3 linked regions of the Oryzias latipes genome follow. The protein of the gene in region 3 interacts with the protein of the main gene of each other region in a pairwise test. Links are inferred from orthologs where the notes say so. Each region holds a gene or a part of one and is shown on either strand. Other genes may lie near its edges.

The links.
Region 1: the proteins of sumo1 (region 3) and etv6 interact in a two-hybrid assay, tested with the Homo sapiens proteins (2 studies listed by BioGRID). The link is inferred for Oryzias latipes from reciprocal best matches to the Homo sapiens genes SUMO1 and ETV6.
Region 2: the proteins of sumo1 (region 3) and c12h18orf25 interact in binary tests that used the Homo sapiens proteins (3 or more experiments, as listed by UniProt). The link is inferred for Oryzias latipes from reciprocal best matches to the Homo sapiens genes SUMO1 and ARK2N.

The regions. Positions count from the first base shown.
Region 1 is NC_019881.2:2,195,347-2,199,261, reverse strand, and holds the end of etv6 (transcription factor ETV6), read left to right. Parts: intron 1-18; coding exon 19-161; intron 162-2,714; coding exon 2,715-2,815; intron 2,816-2,888; coding exon 2,889-3,060; 3' UTR 3,061-3,363; downstream 3,364-3,915. UniProt on the Homo sapiens protein: Transcriptional repressor; binds to the DNA sequence 5'-CCGGAAGT-3'. Plays a role in hematopoiesis and malignant transformation.
Region 2 is NC_019870.2:8,672,071-8,676,361, reverse strand, and holds the start of c12h18orf25 (uncharacterized protein C18orf25 homolog), read right to left. Parts: upstream 2,924-4,291; 5' UTR 2,517-2,923; intron 1,982-2,516; 5' UTR 1,911-1,981; coding exon 1,094-1,910; intron 1-1,093. Other genes in the region: ATP synthase subunit alpha, mitochondrial, read left to right, coding at 4,244-4,291. UniProt on the Homo sapiens protein: AMPK substrate important for exercise capacity and skeletal muscle function.
Region 3 is NC_019860.2:9,899,713-9,903,381, forward strand, and holds sumo1 (small ubiquitin-related modifier 1), read right to left. Parts: upstream 2,402-3,669; 5' UTR 2,381-2,401; coding exon 2,369-2,380; intron 1,995-2,368; coding exon 1,920-1,994; intron 1,668-1,919; coding exon 1,590-1,667; intron 778-1,589; coding exon 706-777; intron 630-705; coding exon 561-629; 3' UTR 540-560; downstream 1-539. UniProt on the Homo sapiens protein: Ubiquitin-like protein that can be covalently attached to proteins as a monomer or a lysine-linked polymer.

The sequences.
Region 1 (3,915 bases), on a different chromosome or scaffold from region 3:
ACCTGTGGGGCCTGACAGACTGCCGGCGGCTGTGGGACTACATCTACCAGCTCCTGTCGGACAGCAGGTACGAGAACTACATCCGCTGGGAGGATCCGGAGAGCAAAGTCTTCCGCATCATGGATCCCAACGGCCTGGCCAGGCTCTGGGGCAACCACAAAGTAAACACCTCCACCTGACTCCCTTTCTGCTCCGTCTGCAAAAGAAGATCTTAACGTATAAATGTCACGTCTATGAAGAGCAAATGGAATCAGCGAGCCGGGTCATGAGGTCATGTGACCTCTGAACACCCTATTGTTAGTTTGTAGCAAGATGTGAGAAGTTTGCTCAAATATTCCCGCCTGCCAGCCGTGTCCCCGCTCTGTACTTCATAGCTCTGGTTAAAAGATCGCTTTGGAAAATGTTCACTGTGTTCCATTAAAGAATGTGCAAGTATAGGAGAATGCCACTTTTGCAAGGTCGCCACGTGCAAAACGTTCAAAATCTACAACTTAGAATTCCAACATTGTTTCCATAATTGCTTCCAAATGATGGCCGAGAAGTTCGGAAATGATCAATGAAAATCACGAGTTTTCGTTTGTATCTGCTACTAAAGGTGCAGTTTCTTTTTAATTCAAGATGGAGGTTTCTTCCCGAGGTCAAAGGTTGGCAAAACTCCAGGGGTCGTTGTAGACTTAAGTTAGCACCACGTGTGTAAATGTTTGCAAAAATTACTCGAAAGAAGGTAATTTTCCTTAATTGTAGAAAATCCACAAATCTCTGATTTTGGCACAAAATGGCCGCCAAATCGTAGGTCATCTGGCCATCCCACAATGATTGGAAAACTTCCTATGGAAATCCTGACAAGTGGATATTGATTTCCTTAGAGAATTGTAAATATTTTTCACCCGAATTACATTTTTTAGCTGAGTCAGCAGATTATTTTGGCAAAGGTTTTTTGTTTACCAAGCCCAGAATTTTGACACTGTCATATCGTACGTTATAACCGGAGAATTCATGTATACGGTTTTTACGACATTGTGATAAGAAATGTGAGAGCTAGCTGAGATCGCAACAGTTGCAAAATCGACACACGCACGCCTTTCAAACTTCTAATTCCAACATTTTTTCCACAGTACTTCGCCATTGATAATCGAGAAGTTACAATCAATAAAAATCCTTCAGACGAGTTTTAGTTTGTATCTGGAGCTAAAAGTGTTTTTTTTTAATTCAAGATGGCGGTGGAACTTCTGTGGTCGTTGTAAACTTAAGCTAGCGGCATTTGCGTGAAATTTCGTGAAAATGGCACAAACTAAAATGTTGTTTTCCCATTTTGTCGAAAAACTTCAAAAACGGCAAATCTCAATCTTTGCCACAAAATGTCCGTCAAGCCCTAGGTCGTAAGGTCATCCCATAATAACTTCAAAACTTTCTTTGGATATCCTCGACACGTGTGTTTTGGATTCGCTGCTGTATTTTGATTTTGTTTTTTTGGCTTTCCACGCATGCGGCGGGGACAAATTTCTGCTCACACTTAGTAGAAATTGTTCCAACTGTGAAAACAAAATGGTGGCCCATGATAAACGTTTCACTACAAAGTGATTGACACCCCTTCCCTTGACCAATCGTGGTCAAGGTTCAACTTGACCAATCTGAGTCCCTGATTGGTCAACCTGACCACAGATTTGTTAGTGACAAATCTTTAAACTCACAGAAGTGCCAACCGCAGAATCCGAATAGAGCTGAGAAAGAAAAAGCTTGGCGTAAGATTCATGGTTGTACAGGGTGCACACCAAACCTCGTCCACTAACAAATCTGTCAACGTAGCTTTACATCAAAGTTGCCGATTTTACCCAAAAATGGCGGACAACAGTGTGCGTGGCGTCACTGCAAGTGGTTCCTACAGCAGAGCAAAGCTGATCCGGAAAACCGCCATTTCCACGTCCGCGGATGTCGAATACAAGGCCTCTTAAAATGCAAGAGGGATTAGACACTGGAAGAAAACACGCCGTTTACACGCCATATCTATGTTCTAATGAAAACCGGATCTTTATCTATTCCATTAAGACATGCAGCAGGTGATAGAACTTTTTTTTAAAGTGTACTTTTTTGTTAAGGCTTTTGAAATCCAAGACCCCGTCATGTACCTCCTACCCCGTCCTGTCTGCATCACGAATGAACCGGAAACATATTTATATCCATGTGAGCTTCTCCAGAAACATTTTCCAGAGGAACCAAATCAAGCTCGATACATGAAACAGAATAGCAAAGAATCTCCCTGTAAATCTCTAGAAATAAAATAACAAACCTGCGAATCGCATCATCAGGCTTTAAAAGTATGAACGCCACTCAGACGGACAGTCGCTGCCAAAACCGTTCAACCTAGTCCGCACCGCTGCAGGAGGGACGCGGTACGACCGATGTGATGGCCGATCGCTGTGACGTAGAGGTTTCTTCTGATTCTGAAAGATTTTTGAGGTTCTGTGGCTGATGTTAGCGCTGATGACAATGGTTTTCAAAAGACTGGACTTTTGCCCCAACACAGTTTGAGATGACAAAATGTGTTTAAAATAATAAAACAGGATTCAGTTTTTTTAAAACAGAAAAGGAAAAATCCAGTCCAAACTTCACAGGTTCAATGCTATCTGCTGCCCCCTAGTGGACACAGTGAGCATTTCGATCTTTTACTGAAGAGCCATTCTTACAAACTCCTGTGTTTTTTTTGACCTTTGCAGAACAGAACCAACATGACGTACGAGAAAATGTCGCGAGCACTGAGACACTACTACAAGCTGAACATCATCAGGAAAGAGCCGGGCCAACGGCTTCTGTTCAGGTACGTTTCCTGGAGCTGGATTTCCAGTCCTGCAGCTCCGCCTGCTGAAAACCCTCCTTTCTGCTACCTGCAGGTTCATGAAAACCCCGGATGAGATCATGAACGGCCAGGCCGAGCGTCTGGACCACCTGGAGTCGGACACGTACGAGGAGATCTACATCAAGGAGGAATGCTTGGGGTCGGCGGCGGGCGGGAAGGACCCCCATGAACATGTTTCTGAAAGCGATGATGGCATCTACAACTGATCCGTGGGGAATTTGGACACTCGTGTTGGGGGAAGGGGGGGTCTTGGTCTAAACTTTGCCTTAAGATGATTTTTTTCCTGACCTGCTGTCAAAAAAAAAGAAAAAAATGGAATGAACATGTTTTATTGGATGGACTCGGCGGAACGCAAAGACTCTGCTCCTCGTGGTTTTGTGTGTGGGGTTTTTTTTGGGGGGGGGCTTCATTGCGTTAGTTTCTAAATGGAAAATTGTGTGTTGGAGTGTGCGTGAGAAAGCGTGACAGACTGTTTTCACCATGAAATAAACCTTTTGATCAAACTGCAATTCCTTCAACGTCCACATGGTGGCAGCAGAGGGCAAGTTTAGCCTCCAATTAATGATTTAATGATTTTGGCGCGTGACAGGTTTAGAAACAGTTCTGGTTATAATTGCTTGACATATGTATTTATATTTAACCCAGAGACACAAATCGAATTATTTAATTATAAATTTTAGACTTTCTACCTTTATTGAGATTTAAAAAGATCCCTAGGTTTCATCTGCAGATCCCGAGCGCAGAAAGTAAGCGCCCCTTAAAACCCCAGAAAAGTAATCTGATTACTGCACAGCTCTGTCCCCTGAAGTAACGGCGGCGCGCCACAGTCTCTCCTTAAAAGTTGGTTGCGCGCAGAGCGCAGCTGTCAGAGCGGGAGAGCCGCGGCGCAGCGCGGATCGAGAGGCTGCAGGTGCGTTCCCCTCCCGCACGATCACGCACCGATCAGGCCGCCAAGCTTTGGACTCCGGATGGGATTCTTCTCTGAAGACGGATAATCCTGTCTGACCAGCCTGGTTTTGAGGAGAGAAGCTCTGTTCTCCCCCTTTTCCTGTGGACCTCCG
Region 2 (4,291 bases), on a different chromosome or scaffold from region 3:
ATGTTCACTGTTGGTGCAGTATGAACACAATTGCAATATCTTCATTATTCAAACTCTCTCATTAGACAGGAGAATACCTGATTAAATCAGAAACATTTGATGTAAAAAAACATAAATTTACTAACTGCTACTCACTAAATAAAAGCCTTTCTAAAGCCACAAGGAAAAAAAAAAAAGAGTGAAAAGATCAGGCTTAGATAAATATGAGGGCCTCTTTCCCAACAGCAGCATCACATCTTCAAATATTAGCCTACTTGTTGTTCCAGATGCCTCAGCTCTCCCAAGACATTTCTACATCAGCTGAGGAAACAAGAGAGCTGATCTACACGTACAGAGGACTGTCAGGGTTTGACCTCGGTTTGCATTAGACGATTCAGAGCATTGTATAGATTAACATTTAACACACAAACGCTGCCCAACTGCTCTGCAGAATCTGTTTTAGAAAAGAAGGACCACCCGACTGAACCGGTAAAATAATTCTGTGTGGGCAGTATGATCGACCTGGACCAAAACAAAAAAAACAACAAAAAAACCTTCATCACACTAAATAAAAAACAATAAAACAAAGCAGGTCCTATTAAAATAATAATAAAAAAGAAACCTTTGATCGCATCTTTCAGTGATCTACACATTTATTAGACCCTAAAAACTCTAACAGGTATGTTTTGTAAAAATGTAATGAAATCACAATGGAACATAGAACAGCTACCAAAACAGCAGAAATGGCACTACTGGTGGATTATTATTACCCCATGAGTTATACAGTGTCAAATAAACCTTCACAGCATGCAAAACGGGACACAAGCGCCATCAAAAAGTGAAGTAGAATGGCAAGTGACTGGACAGAGAGCAGCTAAATGAAGATTATTTAGGCAGAGATACAAGACAAATGACTTTAGATGGTAGATGAGGAAAAAACTAGAAAATGACCGATCCACAAATACAAAGCAGGCCTTCTTTGGCATTTATTTTACAACATTTTTTGATTTGATTACACTTTCTTAACTAAGGTTCTGTGTCTTTGCTATATTAATGTTTTTTTTTTAAACTAAGTATTTATAGCCACAGTATGTGATAAGATTATGGACGTTACCTGGAATATCTGTCTGGATTGTCTTGCTTCCTCCAGAAGTGTCATCATCCTCAGAGGAGGTGGTGCTCGAGTCACATGTGAGCTCACTGTCACTGGTACTGCTGTCCTGCAGCAGGTTATATTTCTTCCGTGCTGCTGCTTCACGTTTCTGCCTCAGCAGACGTATACGCTCCTTGTGTTTCTGGCTCCGGTGACCTTTCACTTTAGTCGGCTTGCCATTAGTTTCCAGCCCAGCAGCTACGGCCATTGTAGGCTGGCAGCGGTTCTTCTTGGCAGCCATCGCACTGGGAGGCGTCTCACTCTCTGAACGCGACCGGCGGGACTTCCTACCTCCTGAGGCAGTGGCAGAGGTTTGTTTTGATTCTTGCCCAGGATCATTTGTGGCCTCCATAGCATCCCCTTCTTCTCCTCCTGCAGGTGGAACAACACCCTCTTCTCCAGACGAAAGAGTATCTGAGTCAGCAAGGTGCCCACTAGATGAAGGGGACAGCATGCAGGGATTTGAAGAGTCACTTTCATAGATATTACGTGACACAAGCTTGTCACTCCTTTTAGATGCATGTTGGGACTCTGGGGAGTCTCTGTGGAGCTCCTTCATCAGGCATGGCATTGAAAGGAGACTTTGCTCCCCCTCAGTGTTTAAGGGGCTGTCTATCTCCTTCTCCCTTGGGGGTGAACTCGTACTGGTGGTGGTCTCCGTTTTCAGATGCTCATCTTGTTCTTCATGAACTGAGGCTGTGGCTGATTGAGGATCATCAAGGCATGCAGGAGGGCATTCGACATCCAACACTTCTTCTGCTCTTGAGAAATCAGCCATCTTTAATCTTGTTTAGCCCAGAGCCCAAAGGTCCACCAAACTTGGACCAATGTCCCTGGACAGAAATTCACCTGCCAGAAAAAAAAAAAAAATCATTTGAAAGTTTTGATATGCTGAGGAATGCAAAACAAGCAGACTCAATAGGCTTCTTTGACTGCATGTATAACAGCAGACTCGCCCAATATTATATGCATCAATACCAACATATATTCAAATTTTTCATTTTGGCCCAAGTTTTCACAATTAATAAAATTCCAAGCAAGATTCTGTGAAAAATTGTACAAAAAGTTGGTTATTTAATGTTTTATATATATATATATGTGTGTGTGTGTTCTGTTGGAGTTTGTAACTAGCTTATGCTAACAACCTTTTGGCTGCTAACTTGAAATAATTTCGATCGTAATATATCGTCCTCCCGAGCCGAGAGCGAGAAGAAAAAAACGTGCGGTGAAAATAAACACTCAGGCAGGACAGCTGCACCGCAAGCCTATAAATGGAAACAGTGTCTATCCAGACAGAAGTACCGGGCAATCTCATGTCAACGGCTAAAAGTAGGCTAACCGTTAGCTACACCCCTCTTTTTGCATTTGTCTGGTTTCAACTTACCACGGTGTTAGTTATAGTATTCGTTTTCCAGCGTTGCACTTTTCAACATTTTCAAAAAAATATTAAGTTCTCTGGTTTTCCAATAAATGAAACCAAAACACCAAATCCGCTTTAAATAAACGCAACTTGCATGAACGCGAATTTGCTTTGACGCAGTCCGCTCTGAGCTTCGCCAGCTCTTTTAGCTGTTAGCTCAGTGTTTATTTTAAAATGTCTCCTTCGGCAGTCCTTTCCACTTCCGGTCTCTCGGTTTTATTCAGACGCCCCCTTCAGGTTTACATGAGTATTACAGCTTAATATTTTTTTTCATCCTTTCTTTCTATTCAGATGAGCAGGAAGGCGGATTTTGATACACTAAGCGTATGCGAGATGTTCCATTTTGTTCTGTATCCTTACAACCATTTGAATTATGTATTTGCCCTTTATTCCACTGTAGGATTTTGATAATAAATATTTTTTTCAAAAAACTGAAGTGTTGCCAAGAGTGACTGATTAGCTTCAGGTTCCAGATCTTATAAAACAGATTAAATTAATGTTGAAGTCAAAATGAGTAAGTAAATGGTCAGGTATTCCGTTGCTGGAGTTTAGTCATTTAAACAAATTTTAAGTTATAAGATTACGAGAAATAGATTAAATAAATTAGATGCTGTCCTCTGAGATTTGACAGAAAAAGGTCTTGGTATGGGGCATTCAGTACAGTTGCCCAATATTTTTTTTTTAAATTGAACTTCAAACAAATGCATACACATGACTACAACAGAAAGAAAGAAAAAAAGGATAAAATACAAAAATGAATAAATAAATAAAAATAATAACATTATAATTTTAGTTTACAATACTAGATATTGTCATACAACATGTAATCTTCAATGAAAATAGACAGTTTCATTGCATTTTTGTTTTTTTAAATTAATTTCAGAGATTTAAAATATAAACTGATCTCTTCATGAAATGTATTGAATAATGGTTTGGTTTTTGAAAATCTGCTCTTATGAATGAAACATTTCCCAGATATTAATACAGTATTAAATGTCAAATCAAATAGATTATCACCAGAAACTACTCCAAAAAAATATGATGTGCTTTTGTAATTGAAAAGAAATAGGAAAGGGAAACTTTGAGGAGCACCAAGAAAAAAAAATCCTCCCAAAAACATTCATTAAAAAAAAAAGATGATCAAGTGTTTCTATATTTATGTCACAGAAAGAACAGTTATTTCCTGGAAAACCAAATTGTAAATGTAGTAGTTCCTTGCATGGAAAGACTACATGCATTATTTTAAAATGGATTTCTTTGTATTTTGGAAAAATTGGATATTTAATAACTTAGAGCTTAACTTGCTTATTTTTTCTTTTGTGTAATGCTTTGACATAGAATGATTTTTCATGAAATCCTATAAATGAGTTTGGAAGTTTTGAATTAACTGGTCGACCATCAAACAATGGAGATGGAGGTGAACTATAATAACCAGCTGACTAAATAATGGCTGACTGGCTTATGCCTTTCTATTAGGCTATGTGTTGATATTGACAATGAATTTAACTTACTTTGCTTTAGATTTACATACAACAAACTACATTATATTGCTAGTTTCAATACTGGGTGCATGGAAAAATGCATTTTTTTTAAGTACTTCCGGGTCACGGAGCTCTTTCCGTAGCAGCCTGCAGTGTCTTCCGTCCTTCCCTGTGGGTTCCGGGAGCAGGACACATCAACAGAGGTCCATTATGCTGTCAGTTCGCGTCGCAGCGTCTATCGTCCGCAATCTGCCTCAA
Region 3 (3,669 bases):
TCAACAGGAAATGGACCTGCTCCCTCGTTTAGCCCCGCCCCCCTTCATTTGGACAGACGCTTTGGTCCGTTCCAGGAAAACAACTTTTTTTGTTTTGAATAGATGGAAAGATCAGAAGCATGCCGCTCTGGTATGCTTCTGATCGGTTTCTTTTTACGGTTTCTGTAACCGCACTTACCCAGAATGCCATCTGACATATTTCCTCTATGAGACAATTTTAAAAAACATTTTGGGGAGGAAGAAGCTCCTAAAAACCATTTTCCTGCAAAAGCACATCATTCCAGCAAGGTTGATAAAATAAAAATTTAAAACACGAAAGCGAAATGGTTGCCGGTAAAAATCTTAGAGTGTCCTCCGACGGCAGAGCCACAGGTTCGAGTCCTCGGTCTGTCCGCCTCCCCGACCGCACACATGGAAGCCCTGATTGAGTCCTTTTGCTTTTTTGATTCAGATGGTTTGAAACTTAACAGAAATACATACATACATACAAAACCAAATGATAAAAAACATGAATAAAAGGGGAAAAAAAAGAAGAAAAAAAAACATCAGAAATTGTGGCTTTAATGATTCCAAAGTCCGCCGGTCTGTTCTTGATAAACTTCGATGACGTCCTCATCCTCCATGCCCAGCTATAAAAAAACAGAAGAAAACACAAACCTTAGTGACCACTAGTGCTTGGTTTTCGCTCTTGCGAGTGTCGCTTACCTCTTTTGGGGTTTGGTTATCTGCGATTCTCTGTCCCTCAAAAAGAAACCGTAGCGTGCTCGCCAGGACTCCCTGAAAGAAACGTCATCCTCTGCTGTTAGACCATTAGGAGATTTTTATTTTTCCTTCAATCAGCTCTCCTTGAACGCCGCCGCGAGGCGCTAGGAGCACGAGTAACGATTACATAGACGAGCTTTTAGGTGTAACCCTTATGCTATCTTAGATGACCCCACCCTTACATTGACGTGTTCTCCCTACCATGACAAAAGTGGAAAGATTTCATGTAATCCATGGACACCAGTGAAGATCACAAATCATTGAAGAAGAAAGGTTAAGCGCACTGTCTAGTGGGTCTAGATGACCCAACTCCTAATGTTAAAGGGCCTAGGATAGCACAAGGGTTAAAGAAAATTAAGCTTAAAATTACATTTAAAATTGGGTTATTTTTTTTTTATATTTAAAATCGTTGTGAATCAGGAGCAGACAAAATTAAACTTAGTTGGAAAAAGGTTGCAGGTATGATTCCAAAGCTACTACGGCAAGCCACAAGGCTCCCTTGCAGACAAATAGACTCGTGTAACTTTTTTTTATTTTCCTCGTCCGAGCATCCGGATCCAAACTGTGCAGCTGGATAGCTCCGATATTGCTCGCCATTTTTGTTGCACTGCTAATATTAGCTTGGGAGTCTTAGTAAGCTAGCGGGAGAGCGTGTCAAAAAAATAAATAAAAATCACTAGGAACTTTTTATTTTTTGCAATAGATCAAAAGATGATCAGAGTTATCTTTTTTTTAAATAATGGCGTGTTCTACCATAAGGAACTGCATTTGGATGGATCTGCGAAGGCTGTCATTGGAAAAGTGGCGATGCGTCTTCCTCTTCATACCTGTCTCTGGCTGTAAGACTCTTTCAGCTTCTTTAGATGTGTGGTCATTTTCACCTTGAAGTGGATTTCACTGCTGTCCTGTGGGCAGAAACGGACACACACAAAAAGGTGATGCAGCTCAAAAACAATAACAACTTCCAGCATTAAAACGAATACATCTGTAAATGATAAAGAATTGGCAGAATCATTGACCAAAAATAATAGCCTTCTATAAACAATAATAGAGACACCACCACGTGCCATAACTTTATTTGAAATGGAGTAGAATACGGTTTATTTCTAAATGCAGACAGTAGTGACAACAAAAGCAGAGACACAAAAACAACCTACCTGACCGATCACTTTTAGTTTGATGTACTCTCCATCTTTCTTGTCGCCTCCGTCCTGATTGGAAGGTTTCGTCTCCTGACAGAAACATCACAAAACATTGCTACATGATGCGACCGCTAGCACGCTTTCGAGGAAGGCCCGTCTGTTTACTCCGCGGGTTCCACGAACACAGAGAACATCCACCATAGACACGAGTGTGGGTTCGGTCCCGCCAGCACCAGTTCTGACCCCCCCCCCAAAAAAAAATCTCAAAAAACTACACAAAAGCTCACGTGGAGGGTAAAAAAAAATCGCTAAGTTCAGTCAGAGGCCTGCAGCTAGAACAGCTAACGGTTAGCATGTTGTTAGATAATCACGTACGAGGCAGCGTCCATAACAAACACATTATCGATTTCTTAGTAAAGTGTTGACAGAAAATCATTCGAACTCTTCAACGTTCTTTTTCTTACCGTGTCTGACATGTTTATCCTGACTGTGTGCGGGAGGGGGAGGGAATCCCTTCAAGGTGTAGCGTTAGCTTTTAGCGGTGGCTCTTGCTTTATGTTGTGAGGAATGCGACATCAAACGGAAGTGACGCAGGGCTGTTCAAAATAAAAGTCGCGTGAAGGAATTTGTTTTGTAGCGGATTGTCTCCATAAGAAAAGCGCGCGCGCGCACACACACACACACACTCATACAAAAACCTTGCCTTTTCCAGTATTATGAAGTCTTTACTCCTGTTCAATATTCAAATGCAATATATATGTTTAGATTAAATTTATATATTTTTAACATGGGCTTAAAAAATAGCATTTTATGATAATTTAATAAATAACTATATATATATAGAGAGAGAGAGAGAGAGAGAGAGAGAGAGAGAGAGAGAGAGAGAGAGAGAGAGAGAGAGAGAGAGAGAGAGAGGATGAAACAGTCGACAGCCGACAGTGTGCTCAGTGAATGTCTCAGGCAATGGAGAGCAGAGGATACAGTGCTGGAGGACAGATCCTCATGGGAAGACAAACCCCTGCATGGGACGTACCACCGGACCATAACTGAAGTGGCTGATATCAAGAAGTCCTACCAATGGCTAGAGAGGGCTGGCCTACAGGACAGCACTGATGCGCTCCTCCTGGCAGCTCAGGAACAAGCCCTGAGCACCAGAGCAATAGAGGCTCAGATCTACCACACCAGACAAGACCCAAGGTGTAGGCTGTGCAAATAAGCGCCTGAAACAATCCAGCACATAACTGCAGGGTGTAAGATGCTGGCAGGGAAAGCATACATGGAGCACCACAATCAAGCAGCTGGAATAATATACAGGAACATGTGTGCAGAATATGGACTGGAAACCCCAAGGTCAAAATGGGAAACACCTCCGAAGGTGGTAGAGAATGAGAGGGCAAAAATCCTGTGGGACTTCCAGATCCAGACTGATAGGATGGTAATGGCGAACCAACCAGACATTGTAGTGGTGGATAAAGAACAGAGGAAAGCCGTTGTGGTGGATGTGGCAGTGCCAAGCGATGGGAACATCAGGAAGAAGGAACATGAGAAACTGGAGAAATACCAGGGACTCAGAGAAGAACTGGAGAAAGCATGGAAAGTGAATGTGACAGTGGTGCCTGTGGTAATTGGAGCACTCGGGGCAGTAACCCCCAAGCTGGAGGAGTGGCTACAACAGATCCCTGGAAAGACCTCAGACCTCTCAGTCCAGAAAAGCGCAGTGCTAGGAACAGCTAAGATACTGCAGGACCCTCAAGCTCCCAGGCCT